Linked DNA regions of Caenorhabditis elegans. The protein of the gene in region 1 interacts with the protein of each later gene in a pairwise test. Each region holds a gene or a part of one and is shown in the gene's direction. Other genes may lie near its edges.

What was found.
Region 2: the proteins of got-2.1 (region 1) and mpz-4 interact in a two-hybrid assay, tested with the Caenorhabditis elegans proteins (one large-scale study listed by BioGRID).

Annotation. Positions count from the first base shown.
Region 1 is NC_003279.8:4,635,466-4,644,133, reverse strand, and holds got-2.1 (Aspartate aminotransferase), read left to right. Parts: upstream 1-3,251; 5' UTR 3,252-3,261; coding exon 3,262-3,444; intron 3,445-4,282; coding exon 4,283-4,575; intron 4,576-4,997; coding exon 4,998-5,154; intron 5,155-5,693; coding exon 5,694-6,046; intron 6,047-6,163; exon of another isoform or gene 6,164-6,301; intron 6,302-6,325; coding exon 6,326-6,599; 3' UTR 6,600-6,702; downstream 6,703-8,668. Other genes in the region: Y119C1A.1 (RanBP2-type domain-containing protein), read left to right, coding at 79-165, 882-1,110, 1,434-1,670, 1,885-2,118, 2,537-2,727; acbp-1 (Acyl-CoA-binding protein homolog 1), read left to right, coding at 7,793-7,804, 8,071-8,319.
Region 2 is NC_003282.8:4,823,355-4,829,954, reverse strand, and holds mpz-4 (PDZ domain-containing protein), read left to right. Parts: upstream 1-2,634; 5' UTR 2,635-2,689; coding exon 2,690-2,791; intron 2,792-3,089; coding exon 3,090-3,200; intron 3,201-3,248; coding exon 3,249-3,466; intron 3,467-3,513; coding exon 3,514-3,662; intron 3,663-3,717; coding exon 3,718-4,028; intron 4,029-4,073; coding exon 4,074-4,249; intron 4,250-4,293; coding exon 4,294-4,435; 3' UTR 4,436-4,467; downstream 4,468-6,600. Other genes in the region: tat-2 (Phospholipid-transporting ATPase), read left to right, coding at 1-149, 369-585, 1,107-1,204, 1,311-1,428, 1,844-1,879.

The DNA of each region.
Region 1 (8,668 bases):
GTTGTCAACTTATCAGCTCCGTTGTTTTTACATCATCGAAAAAAGATAAGATAAGTCATTTCAGGGGGTGCAAACTTGATGGCAACACAGAAGAAATCGTCACTTTCGAGTTGTCGAGGCAAGGATTTAAGCAAGATGACGGATTTGAGCAAGTTGTATAAAAAGGTTGGAAATTTTTGGAAAAATACCAAAAAATCTTGAGACCTCTGACCAGGGGTGCGCGGCAATTGCCGACCAGTTATTCTAGAAAATGAGACGGTTGGACATGTTCCCCCGATATTTTTTATTAAAGTGTGATGTTACCATGTAGAAGAATATGTATTTACTTTATTTGACTTGGAACAACCGATAAAGTGTTCAAAAAATTGTCCGAATTTTAAAAATTTCTGGCGGAAATTGCCGTAAAGTTTTCGGCAATTTTCAACATTCAGATTATTTTTCAAGATTTTTCCAATTTTTTCTACTAAAGCAACAGTTATTTTCGAATAAAGCGAATATTTTTCTATATTTTATCATTAAAGTTTAATGAAACATATCGGGGGAACATGCCCAACCGTTTCATTTTGTAGCATTTCCGGCCGGCAATTTCCGCGCACCCCTGCTTCTGATACAAGATTGGCTCCAAGAAATGTCAAATCAATCAATAAAGAAAAAAGTAAAATAATGGACATTCGAACGTATCATTATCAAAAACGGGTCGACTCGCACCCTCTCGGGAGGGCAAGCCCTCCATTATCACTCATTCTCGATACATTTAATCATTGTTCTTCCCAACACACACACTTTTCACCTTTTTTCTTGGAAGTATTGATTCATTTTTGATTTTTCCACTAAATTTCTCGGAATAACTTTCGAATTAGTTCGAAAATTGTTAATTCCAGGTCGAACGGATAAGTAAACGAATTTTCCACAGTGAGAAGCCTCAATCGACCTTTGTTCCTTCTGCTCAACAGACCAATTCTGCTCAAAGTACTAGTTCAAGTAGTACTACCGATCCACAAATGCCTCATCAACCAGTGCTTCTGAATCCTCCGTATCCTCCGGTTCATCCTGGATTTGGAACCGGGTTTCCACAGTTCTCATATCCACAACATCAGCAGCAAATACCAAGTGAGAATTGATTTTTTTTCATAAAAAACCGAATCCCTTCGGAAAGCTTACAAAAATCAAATTCAAGCATTTTCGAAGATCCAGCAACCTTTTTATAAATACAAATTCACTTTCTAACAGCTATTTTGTAAATTATTTAGAGTCTATCAGAAAAAATGCAGATGACTGAATATACTGTCAACTGCTCTTTTGAATTTCCCGTTTCTCTAAATAATATAAAAAACAACAAAGGATAATCTAGATAAACTTGTCTTCTTCTTCTTTTCAACCATAAACAAACGATTATCCTCTTTTATTGTATATAAATAATATAATTTTTGCAGATCCACCATATGGTTGGGCTCTAAATGCAGCAGCTCTACCTCCGTATCCATCATCTACTGCCTCATCATCTTCAGCTTCACAAACTCCATCATTTGCTCCTCTAAGCCTTGATACTGGATCTGGAAATGAGACGGCTGGTAGTGGATTCGATCATTTAGCCGTTCATCACGATGATAATCACGATGAAAGAGACTATTTGATACCAGATCAACATGAAATTATTGAGCTCCGGAAAGGTAGAAATATAAAAATGATTCTCAGGACCTGGTCTCGACACGAATATAGTTTTTTTTCGTAGATTCTTCCATCAAGTTTTATGAGAAAAAATCGAAAAAAAAATAGTGTATAAAATGTTTCGTAATTCATTTCGTCCGTGTGTTTGGGTATTTTTTGGGAGCAAAGCCGAAAACTAAAAAAACGACAAATCTGTTCTCAATTTATTTTTTTCAGCTCAATCGGCTAAACTGGAGCAAGGAAAACAACGGGTAATCAACGAGGTGACATCACTAAATCTAATCACAAATGACGTCACTGAGCTCAAAAAATGGTTTGATGCAAAATATCCACATACACTGGTTAACGATGCCGCGACGAATGAAGAAGAATTGGAGAGAACTGTTCGAAAATTGGAAGAAAAATTAAAAAGGTTGAGAGCAAAAAGTGCAAAAGGAGTTCCACCTCCAAGTGAGTGCTAATCATGGATGAAAGCTCATTATTTTTTGGGAATTCTACGAAATGACCTATGTTCTTTTGCACCATGTTCTTTCAACATTTTTCATTGAAAAATAGTCTCAAAATATAAAAAATCACTTGATTTACCAGAAAATAAAAATCTTTTCAACTGAAATATTGGAGAAAGTGCTCAAAAACTACCTGAAAGTTGCCAATCCCGAGCACTTTCTCCAATATTTCAGTTGAAAAGATTATTATTTTCTGATAAATTAAGTGATTTTCTATATTTTCACACCAATTTTCAATGAAAAACGTGATAGGCCATTTTTAGAATTTCCAAAAAAAATTGTCGCCTGCTGCCAATCTTTTTGTAAAATCTCCGAAATACCATTGTCTAGCAATCGACCTAAATTTCCAATTCCTGTTTCAGGACCGCCACCACCTCGTTCAATCAGTCAGGAGAACAGTACGGGTCCATGGATTTGTGATCGTTGTTCCAGAGAGAATAACTCCAATTCGTATCGCTGTCATCATTGTCAGCTCCCCAGTCGTCGATTTGATCCATCGGAAATTGATTTTTGTGGTTGTGAGTATTGTTCCACAGCTAATTCCACTGCCTAAACAGCTTCGATATTGATCGAACAGTCATTTTGCTTCGGAAATTCGGATTTTTTCGCTCTAAAATGACAGGAAAAGTCTAACAATTACAATTATAACTGTTTTAAAAAAATCCAAAAATTTTTTGGAAAAATTGAAAAAAAATCATAATAAATTTAGGAAAATTCTATAAATTTTTTACCGTTATATTCTGTGTCTTCAGACTATATTCTGTCAAATTTTACAAAAAAACCCATTATTCCGCCTGTAACCTTAAAAAAATGCAAAGGTCAATATCGAATCATGTTCTAATGTAATAATAGTTTTTAACCGAAGGTTGTGTTTTTATTGTATATATATTTTTTCTTGATTTTTCTTGATTTTGTGTTCAAACTTTTCTTATTTTTCAATGAAATCCTCGATTTTTGAATTTTATTTATTTTTTCTGATTTTTTTCACGACTTCCTTGTAAGCTCCGTGGCAGCTTCATATTCTAATATCTATCATTTTGTTTCCATTTTCTATTGATTTTAAATTAAAATTGTCAGCACACAGAAAATGCTGGCATTCTTCAGAAGGTTCATGTCAACGACTACTGTAACTGCTCAACCAGTGCTCCCGTGGTTCAGAAATGTGCCGCTAGCGCCTGCTGATCCAATTCTAGGAGTTACTGAAGCATTCAAGAAGGATACGAATCCGAATAAGATTAATTTAGGAGTTGGAGCATATCGTGATGATCAGGTAAGGGGGAAATGCTCAGAATTTTTTATTCTAGAATTAAAAAAAAAAAAGTTTTGAAACGAGTGGCCGGAATTTCAGGGCTGCAATTAAATAATTAAATAAATTGTAATTTCGGACCAAAAATTAATTGAAACCGGTGATAAAACCAAAAAAGCATTAAAAAGAAAAATATTTATTAAATATGAATAGTATTCGAAAAAATTATTAAAGACCTAAAAAAACCCACATTTTTCTATTTTTCACAAAAAAAAAGTGGTTAAAGTGAAAAAAGTTAGTTTTTTGAATTTTTTGGTGTTAAAATACGATTTTCGTTAATATTCTAACAAAAAACCCAAAAAAATGGCCGCGGCAATAATGGCTAATTGTCGAAAATTTTAAAACTCGGCAATTGTCGAAAGTGTCGGTTGCGGAATTTTGGAAAATTCTGCCAAAAATCCAATTTTCATCATGAGAATTAGGGTCTGGGACCAAGAAAAAAAAATTAAAATTTGCGAAAACCCAAAAAAAAATGATGCTTGAATTAATTTTTTTTAAACCGTTAAAAAGTGAACAATTTTTGGTTTTTTAGTTCTAAAACACCAAAAAATCAATTTTTCGTCGATTAACCAAATAAACCAAATAAAATACCAAAAGTGTCACAGCCCTGATGAAAATAAGTTGGAAAAATTATATTTCTTCACCAAAAACACTTACTACAGTGAAAATTAGTTTTTTGCAAAATTTTTTGAGTTTTTTTTTTCAAAATTTTTGAACTCGATTCATGTCGATGTCCAAAAATTTTTGATTGCCGTCTCACCCTCGATTTAATATTCAAATTATTGTAATTTTCTATTTTCAGGGAAAACCATTCGTGCTCCGAGCGGTCCGCGAAGCTGAGCAGCAAATTATAGATGCTAAAATGGACAAAGAGTACTCAACAATCACTGGAGTTCCAGAATTTGCGCCATTGGCTGCGAAACTCGCTTTCGGCGACAATTCCGAAGTGATTCGCGATGGAAGAGTCTTCACAACTCAATCGATATCCGGAACTGGTGCTTTGAGAATTGGAGGACAATTTGTGGAAAAGTTTATTCCATCCAAGACTTTGTTTTATCCAACACCAACTTGGGCTAATCATTTGCCAGTTTTTAGGTAAATTTTTTAAAATTTTATTTTTATTTTTCGGAAATCATATTTTTTAAAAATTTAAATCTATTTTTTTTAATCGAAAAGTCGAAAAACGAAAATTTTTCGATTTTCGGGAAAACAAAAAATCGAAAAAAAATTGAAAATTAACAAGAATTTGCAGCTTTTAATTTTAAAAACTTGTAGCTAAATAGTTTTCGAAAAAAATGTTTTTTTTTGTTTTTAGATTTTCCAAAGAAGCTACACTCTTATCGAGGAAAAAAATCGGGTTTTTTTGAAGAGAAAATCGAAGAACCATACTTTTCGATTTTTTGATTTTCCGTAAAGCAAAAAATCAAAATTTCCATGCACTTGTTGTATTTTTTCCCCTGTTAATTTCTGTTTCTGTTGCTTGTTGTCCACTTCTCACCCTCACCTCCTCTATTCAGAAATTCTGGTCTTTCGATTCAACCATACCGTTACTACAATCAAGAAACTCTTGGATTTGATGTTGAAGGAGCTCTCGAAGATATTTCAAAGATGCCAGAAGGATCTGTTATACTTTTGCATGCTTGTGCACATAACCCAACTGGTGTTGATCCTACTGTATGTTGCTTTGTTGTGATGTTTTGTTTTGTTATTATTTCGGGCCAAAAATACGGTACCCGGTCTCGCCACGAGATTCGTTTTGTTACATGCGAAAAGATGTGCGCTTTTAAAGAGTACTGTAATCTCAAACTTTAGTCGCTTTGGAATTTTCAAATATTTTTCTTTTTTGCCATTAAAAAAAATGTATTTATTGAAAAAAGCGAACAAAAAATAGAAGCACTAAATGCTTAACAAATCTTCAGAAAAAGTATTAAAAATTCATTAAAATGCGAACGAAAGTTTAAAATTACAGTACTATCCAAAGACGCATACCTTTTCGCATTTAACAAAAAAAAATTTCGTGTCAAGACCAAGTACCGTATTTTTAGCGCGAAATTTCGAGTGCTAAAAAACTTATTTTGTGACGAGATACCGTAATCTCACCTAATATTTTATTTTGCACTGTAGATATTGTGAAGATAACTAACTTAAAACAAAAATAATAGTTTTTAAATTGAAGACTCAATAAAACTTTTCAAAACTCATTGAATTTTCAGAAGGAGCAATGGAAAAAGCTGAGCCAAGTGCTGAAAGAACGAAAAATTCTTCCATTCTTCGATATGGCTTATCAAGGATTTGCATCAGGAGACGTTGACGATGACGCATTTGCTCTTCGTCATTTCATAGAACAAGGACACAATGTTCTCGTTGCTCAATCATTTGCAAAAAATATGGGATTGTACGGAGAACGTGTTGGTGCATTTTCGATTGTTTGTGATTCTGCTGAAGAAGCGATTCGTGTTGGATCTCAAATGAGAATTATCATTCGTCCAATGATCTCAATGCCACCACTTCATGGAGCAAGAATTGCTTCACGGATTTTGAGTAATCCAGAGTTGAAGAAATCTTGGTAGGAGTTTCTGAGTTTGTGAAGTCAGAAATTTAAAGATCAGAAACTGAAAAAAATAATTTTGGACCAAAAAAAATGAGATTTGCGAAAAACCGGTTTCTAAGCGACTGATTTTCTAAAATTCCAAAGAGTGTGTGCCTTTAAAGAGTACTGTAGTTGCCGAAAATTTGCTTTTAAAAATATTTAAATAATGGGCAAATTAGCTATTTTTCAAAAAAATGGATCTTTTTTATTTTTGAAATATTGGAAAAACGAAATCTATAAAAATGATTATTTCAGGCTGGAAGATGTGAAACTAATGGCTGACCGTATCAAATCAATGCGTACGGCTCTAAAAGACGGCCTGAAAGCTGAAGGATCTACTCTCAACTGGGATCATATTACCAATCAAATTGGAATGTTTTGTTTCACTGGAATCAATGAGAAACAAGTTCAAAAGCTCATCAAAGAGCACTCAGTGTACTTGACAAATGATGGACGTATTTCTATTTCTGGTATTAATACTGGAAATGTTGCATATTTGGCTAAAGCTCTCCATGACGTCACCAAGTAATGATTTCTCTAAGTTCTCTACGTGTCTAAGTTTCTTTCCGGTTTTATTGAAATTCAGGTTTTGCTTTTTTAAAAAGTCTATAAAATGGTTTTTGGATTTTCTTTTTTCGTCAACATTTTTTCTTTCTTCTTTTGGGTTCACATTCCCATTATCTTATCTTTGATGTTTTTCTTCCTTTGTTTGTTTGTCTTTTTTTTTTTAATTTCAATCTGTTTTTTTATTTTTAGGCTTTAAATCAATTTTATTATTGGTGGGTGAAACTTGGAGTTTTTATAGTTTTGTAGTCAAATTTCTATTTCCAACAAAATTGAGAAAGTCTAAAAATTGTGGCCTTTATCCGTTTTTAATAAGATACGGAGCTCATTCAATGAGAAAATTTCAACTTCCTCCATTTTTCCATTATTTATATCAAAAATTGTTGTTTTTAGGGCTCCCGATCAAGAGTTTCACCAAAAAACTATTAAAACTAAAAAATATTTTTAAAAATCTAATTTTTCTTCCTTCCGACCAAAAATTGAAATTTTTTAAAGAGTTTTTAAGATCGAAAAACCAAAAAAAAATCCTTCTTTGCCCAAAAAAAAAAACGAACTTTTTCCTATTACTCAATTGCAGAATTTTGCGAGTTTCGACGCAACAACACGACACCTGGTCTTGGCACGATCGAAACCTTGCAGCTACAGTACCCACCAGCTTCACTTAATTGCAAAAACTATGCAGTTGTTGAACATGCGAGTACTGTAGCTGTGAAGTTTCAGTCGCTTCGAGACCCGGCACCGTATTTTTAAATTAACAATTGCTGGCGATTAGGTAATAACGCTTTTGCTAAAACCATCGGTGTCTTATCAAAAGTTAATAATTTTTTTCAAGAAAAGAACTGAAAATTGCCAAAATTTCTTTCTTTTTTCTAAACATTTTCATATTTTGTCCTTCTTCTGTGATGGTGTGATCACATAGTTTGATATTGACCACGAAACGTTGTTGTATTCTCAAAAAATTGATACGATTTTTTAGTGATAACAAATGATAAGAGTGTCCGTTTTTCTGACTGTATACTTCTAGTGCGTGGTTGTGTACGTCAAGATAAATACAATATACAAAGTGCCCTTTCATCATTATTTTTCATGTTTCATTATTTTAAAATCTCTTAATTTTCAGGTTCAAACTTTCAACAAGCTCTTCTCATCGTCTTCAAAATGACCCTCTCGGTAAGCTTCAAATTCCGATGTAGAAAATCCAAAATAATCTCAAATTCAGAATAATGACAACAACAGAAAGCAATAATTGTAAAACCGTGATTTTTCAATGTTGGCAAATTCCCTTCAAAATAGCGGAGGGAACTTAGTCAAAATTGAAAAAGAGACATTTTTATAATTTGGCGATTTTTTTCTGAATTTGAGACTACTTTAGATTTTTTGAAGCAAAATGTTGATATTTTCCCAATAAAATCTCACTAAGTCTTTTCAATTTTCAGTTCGACGACGCTGCTGCCACCGTTAAGACCCTCAAGACTTCCCCATCGAATGATGAGCTTCTCAAGCTCTATGCTCTGTTCAAACAAGGAACCGTCGGCGACAACACCACCGATAAGCCAGGAATGTTCGATTTGAAGGGAAAAGCCAAGTGGTCTGCCTGGGATGAGAAGAAGGGACTCGCAAAGGATGATGCTCAGAAGGCCTATGTTGCTCTTGTTGAGGAGCTCATCGCCAAGTACGGAGCCTAAATAAATTCTGTTTGATAATACGTTTTTTTAACATTTATATTTTTGTAATGAAGATTCTGTGATTCCGAAGAATTTAGACATAAAGTTGCCTATTTGATCAGCAAACTTGAACTTTCAGAAGAATGCATTTTCCATGTTCCCTGTTCCGAGTGATCTGCAATTTCTTTTTTTCCGGTCTGCTACTCTAAAACTTTGGTTTATCCGAATAATTTATAAATCAAAACCGCAACTCTTTTAAATTGGTAATAATACAGTAAAAGAGATGTTAAAAAGAGTGAGAAGTCAACAAAATGAGGGTATTCAAGATTAATGAATGGGGGGACAACACAACAATAATGATAACAACAAA
Region 2 (6,600 bases), on another chromosome or scaffold:
TGGTTTTCAATTCTAATGGTTTCAGTTGTACTGTTACTACCAGTTATGCTTAATCGATTCTTCTGGCTTGATACACATCCATCATTTGCTGATAGGCTGAGAATTCGAAAGAAAATGGGCAAGAAACCATCGGCGAAAGATGATAAAAAGTATGTTCGCTTTTCAAAATTTTAATGTGCGATCAGGTCAATTCGCAATAGCACTATACTATTCGATGAAGCTCCATATTTGAAGATAGCATGAAATAGTGATTAAAAATTGTACTCACATACATAATTCAATTTCAAACTTAGTTTCTATCATTCAAGAAATCGTTTAAACGTTTTGAAATTTTCATTAAATTTATTTTTTTAAATAAATACTTTCAGAACCGCATTCAAACGCACGGCAGCAACTCGACGAAGTGTCCGTGGATCACTTAGAAGTGGTTACGCATTCTCTCATTCACAAGGATTCGGAGAACTCATTCTCAAAGGAAAATTGTTCAAAAATGTGGAAAATCTACGGGGAAAGAATAATTCGAATGCGAAAATTCACCCGACTTCTGATGACTTGCAGCCGATGCTTATTTCTAGTGTGCCTGATGTAAGTTCAATGTGAATTTAAAATTTTTTGGCATGAGAATCGGAAACCTAGATAATTTAAACCTAGACAGAAAATGAAATTACTACTCCCAGTGAATAAAAGATAATCAGCAATTTTTAAAAAATCTTTGAAACAATAATTTCGGAAAATTTCAAATAACTTTTTTTCAACTTTTTGCAACTTTGTGCAGTTACAGACAAATTTCCATTTAGAATTTAATTGTTTTCAAATGTTAGCATTATCCGAGACATTTTTCATGCTTTTAGCCATGAATAACCAAACTCAAAATAAGTTCACGTCCCACTACTAATTGTACAGTAATCATATTTATTAATTTATAATGTTGTTGAAACATTCCATTAAATTTTTCGAACAAAACTTTTTTTCACTTTGTTTGAAGGCAGTAAAACTTTGAAGCAGTAATTTTTAAAATCTCAAGGGTAACATACTTATGGGCTAACTTTTCAGTTTTGTTTTTACAAAAAATTATCCATTTGCCCTTCTAATATAATATATTTCAGGACAGCCAAGGAGCTTCAAGTATTAATGCAATGCACCTTCCAATGGGTACACGTCCACAGAATGTACCCCATACATTGAATGTAAATACTGATGACTGGTAAGTTTTCACATAAAATTTTACACACTTCTAAAGCACGTTGCTTCACTTCTGATATACTTACCGTACTTCTATTGTAACTCTATTGTGTGCCATTTATTCACAGGTCTCAATCATCGGATTTCCGTCCAGCCTATGCAAAGGAACCATCACCACTGCAGGGTACAGTAATCCGTGGCGATGGACGGAGCCATAGAAACCACGTGTATTCGCGGGAAACTCAGGTATAATTGTGCTCCATCCGGTTCTGCCGCTTTTTATCCAAATCTGGCGTTTGTAAATAATTTTCATAATGAATTCTTATTTGTTTCAATTTGCTCAAATTATCTAATTTTGTGTGTACTTGTGTTTGTGTGTTACTTATTTATTATAGTTAGAACTTAATTTTTTTCTTTTTAAATATTAATTTTTATGCATTTTGAGATTACAACTATTCAACATACAGTACTCCTATGGAATACTGTAATTTATTCACTTTTGACCTACTTTTTGATCTCGTGCAGTGCAGTGTGTGCTTTCATTTGAACCCTTTGTGCTTTGACCCTTTTTCTGTTAGTTTTCAACTTTAATTCATTTTTTTTGCAATAAATTTACTTTTGATACATTTTTTCTAAATATAATATTTTATTTTTCCAACAGGTCGAAGAACAACCAGACGTAATCACTCGCCTTTAAAATTCATTTTTTGCATTTATTTTCCGATTTTCTTTCAAACATTCTTCCCCGTCTTGTAGGCACCGGTTTTAGGCTCTCAATTGGGTTTTGTTTGCTCTTTTTCTTCAATTTGCTGTAATTATATAATTGGTGATCGCTGATAATGTGATTGATATCAAAATGGGTAATTTATGATGTATTCCAATCGTGTAATTTTTGAAATATTCAATAAATAATTGTTCATATTCTTGTTGTTGATTAATATATCAGTGTCTATAAAAATTTAATTAAACAAGCAGTGGCAGAAAAAAATTTCAAAAAAAAATGCAGTTTCAAGACATTATTATTACTTTTTTTTAACAAAGGTAACACAAAGTAACAGTTTTTAAAAAATTCTATAGTTTCTCGAAATTGGTGAAAAAGTTTGGATTTCACAATTTAATTTGCTTCGTTGGTAAGTAATTTTCAAACTCACACGTTTCAACGATTTATTTATTTATTTATTTTAATACGATTCCATACGAATCGTGTCCCAAGAAAAAACATAAAACATAAATGATTGATTTTGAATCACGCGATTTTGCAGTTTTATGCCGAAAACATTCTCAATAAGTTCAGTTCTAAAAAAAAGTTAGAAAATCACGTTGAAAAAGATTTAATAATTCTGACCTTTGATATTTTATCTTCACGTTCGATCAATTGCTCTAATTTTTTATTCCCTCCCCCCCACCCCCTCTTATCATTGTTCTTCTCGATTCTAATTTATTTCACAACAATCGATAATTCAAGTATCAAACAAATTCAATTCAAAGCATTTGATAGCTTGAAAAGATGCCACAAGAAATTCCACCTGCAGTCAAATATAAAATCTATCCGGAAGGTGCAGAGGGAATAGACACGGTTTGGGAGCGGCCCGGATTCAAGAAGGGAGAGGTGAGAGGGGTTTTTTGGAATTTGGAAGTTGGATTTGGAATCGAAACAGTGAGAAATTTGAATAATAATTTTTGAACTTTATTCAAGATTTTTTTAATAATTAATTTATTTTTCTTCATTGTGAACAATATTTCTTGAACTAAGTAATTGAGGCAGTCGGGGGTGTTCGAAAGAATATTTTATTATAGAATCAAACTTTCTTTTTTTTAATGGTTTAATGGTTTTTTTAATGGTACACTAGTAGTGAAACATAATTTTATTTTAAAAGTTATTTCTATTCTAGAAACACGTATTTCAGATAGAAGCTCGAGTCAAAGATGTGGTCATTCTGCGTGGAGAACCAGTTCCAAACAGCTACAAAATGCTTGTAGAGGCCACATTTGAGCTCCCAAAGAAGGATAAAATAACGGTAAGCGACATCATCAATGACTTTATGTAAAACGTTTTTGATTTCCAGCAACTCGGACTCGTCAATCGACATGGGTTGGTCACTCGTGTTCATTACGCGAGCCCATTCAAAGGAGCAATTCTACCGGGTGACATCATCTTGCAAGTGAACGGTACGACTGTCTCATTCGATGAGAAACAATTGACAGAGCATGTCGACGAGACCACCGGTGGAGCAAGTCTCCAGTCAAATGTGAAGACTGTTAAGAGGAAGCCAACGACTACACCGTAAGGACAAATGTTATGAAAACTTGAAAAATATTTACCTTATTAAGGAAAACTGAACCTGTGAGAGCACCACATTCACTTTATCCAGACTTCAAGGTTGTTGTCGGAAAGATTTTGAACTCAAAATCTGAGACAAAGATTACGGTTCTGGTCGCTAGATTGAAGAACAGAATGTCTACGTCTAAGATTCCAAATGGTAAGTTTGAATATTTGTTTCTTATTGTGAAACAGTAATTTTCATATAATTTCAGGTATCTTAGCCACACAGGATCACACCATCGATTTGGCCATTCTCTACCAATTCAAATACCTGCAGCTTGGTCTGAACGTGCAGCAGGTCGACAGAAAAGTGGTGGTCAACTACACTATTCCGGATTCAGTTTCACATTGTAGTTTGAATATTGGTGAAGCTATTATTGCTGTTGATGATAAACCAATCAACACTCTGGCAGATAATCGTCAACGATTTCGCGAAGGATTTGAGGCGAATGGATGGATTCGATTGTTGGTTGAGTATCCGAATACGGATCCAATCAAAAATATGGTTCGGGGACAGCTTGCAGTTGGTTATTTGCCTCACATTTTTTTTCTTCTATTTTAATTGCAGAATGTTATGAGAACTGCCGAACGACCGCAATACTTGCTTTGTGGAGATGTCCGTAAATACTTTGTAGAAGGAATTGAAGCTCTGAAAAATGGAAAAGCGTTGGCTCCCATTTTAAAAGAGGAAGAAGGGCCGGGAGAAGTTGGGAAGAAGAAGAGTGATGCGAAAGTTACCAAAAAGTATGTTTTTAAATAAATTAAGATAAAATCTTCAACTAATTCAGGGACCCGGCTGTTGGATTCAACAACACAACTGAAGAATTTTTTATTCCGGCGGAATGGAACTCGAAGCTTTTCGTTTGGCTCCCGCCGCTGAAGACCAAGGTGACCGAATCGGCATCTTCGAACATGCCGGTTAAAAAATGAACTTCATTCTTCTTTAATAAAACATTTGACTGATCTCGGGCGGGCTCGAACCACCGACCTTCTGTGTGTTAGACAGCACAGGTAAAGCGCTAAAAGCGAGACATTAACCAAATGTACGTGAAGGCCCGCTAAAAAGCCAATGATGGGTCGCACCTAAAAATTTTTTTTTTAATTATTGGAAAATCTAACATCGGTGATGGAACAATTTAACATTTTTTGGAAAATACTTTAGTTAAACATTAATTTCAGCTAGATTGTTTTATTCAATCATTTCAAATTTCCGAAAAATTTTTTTGAAAATCAGCTTTTATATATTTTTATCAATTAAAAAAAAACACCCGTACAAGCTATTATACTCTGTTCGGCATTTGCTGCTATTTTTGACTATGCTTAAGAGTTTTATGAAATAAAAAAGAATGACTCCATATGATTTTACAGGACTTTTGAATTTTTGAAAAAATCAGCTTTTATATATTTTTATCAATTTTTAAAAAAATACTTCCGTACAAGCTATTATACTTTGATTGACAGATTCTGGTGTTTTTGACTATGCTGAATAGTTTTATGAAATAAAAAAGAATGACTCCATATGATTTTACAGGACTTTTGAATTTTTGAAAAAATCAGCTTTTATATATTTTTATCAATTTTTAAAAAAATACTTCCGTACAAGCTATTATACTTTGATTGACAGATTCTGGTATTTTTGACTATGCTGAATAGTTTTATGAAATAAAAAAGAATGACTCCATATGATTTTACAGGACTTTTGAATTTTTGAAAAAATCAGCTTTTATATATTTTTATCAATTTTTAAAAAAATACTTCCGTACAAGCTATTATACTTTGATTGACAGATTCTGGTGTTTTTGACTATGCTGAGCAGTTTTATGTAATAAAAAAGAATGACTCCATATGATTTTCCCATACTTTTGAATTTTTGAAAAAATGAGCTTTTATATATTTTTATCAATTTTTAAAAAAATACTTCCGTACAAGCTATTATACTTTGATTGACAGATTCTGGTATTTTTGACTATGCTGAATAGTTTTATGAAATAAAAAAGAATGACTCCATATGATTTTTCAGGACTTTTGAATTTTTGAAAAAATCAGCTTTTATATATTTTTATCAATTTTTAAAAAAATACTTCCGTACAAGCTATTATACTTTGATTGACAGATTCTGGTATTTTTGACTATGCTGAATAGTTTTATGAAATAAAAAAGAATGACTCCATATGATTTTCCCATACTTTTGAATTTTTGAAAAAATGAGCTTTTATATATTTTTAATATACAAATACTATTTTCAAGCCATTAATTCATTTTTCTTCCCGGAAATCGATTTCCGCGGAGATGGTTGCTGGCTGGTAATGGCTGTGGAAAATACTTAGTTAAACATTATTCAAGCTAGATGTGTTATTCAATCATTTCAAATTCCCGAAAAATTTTTTGAAAATCAGCTTTTATATATTTTTATCAATTAAAAAAAAACACCCGTACAAGCTATTATACTCTGTTCGGCATCTGCTGCTATTTTGACTATGCTTAAGAGTTTTATGAAATAAAAAAGAATGACTCCATATGATTTTACAGGACTTTTGAATTTTTGAAAAAATCAGCTTTTATATATTTTTATCAATTTTTAAAAAAATACTTCCGTACAAGCTATTATACTTTGATTGACAGATTCTGGTGTTTTTGACTATGCTGAATAGTTTTATGAAATAAAAAAGAATGACTCCATATGATTTTACAGGACTTTTGAATTTTTGAAAAAATCAGCTTTTATATATTTTTATCAATTTTTAAAAAAATACTTCCGTACAAGCTATTATACTTTGATTGACAGATTCTGGTATTTTTGACTATGCTGAATAGTTTTATGAAATAAAAAAGAATGACTCCATATGATTTTACAGGACTTTTGAATTTTTGAAAAAATCAGCTTTTATATATTTTTATCAATTTTTAAAAAAATACTTCCGTACAAGCTATTATACTTTGATTGACAGATTCTGGTGTTTTTGACTATGCTGAGCAGTTTTATGTAATAAAAAAGAATGACTCCATATGATTTTCCCATACTTTTGAATTTTTGAAAAAATGAGCTTTTATATATTTTTATCAATTTTTAAAAAAATACTTCCGTACAAGCTATT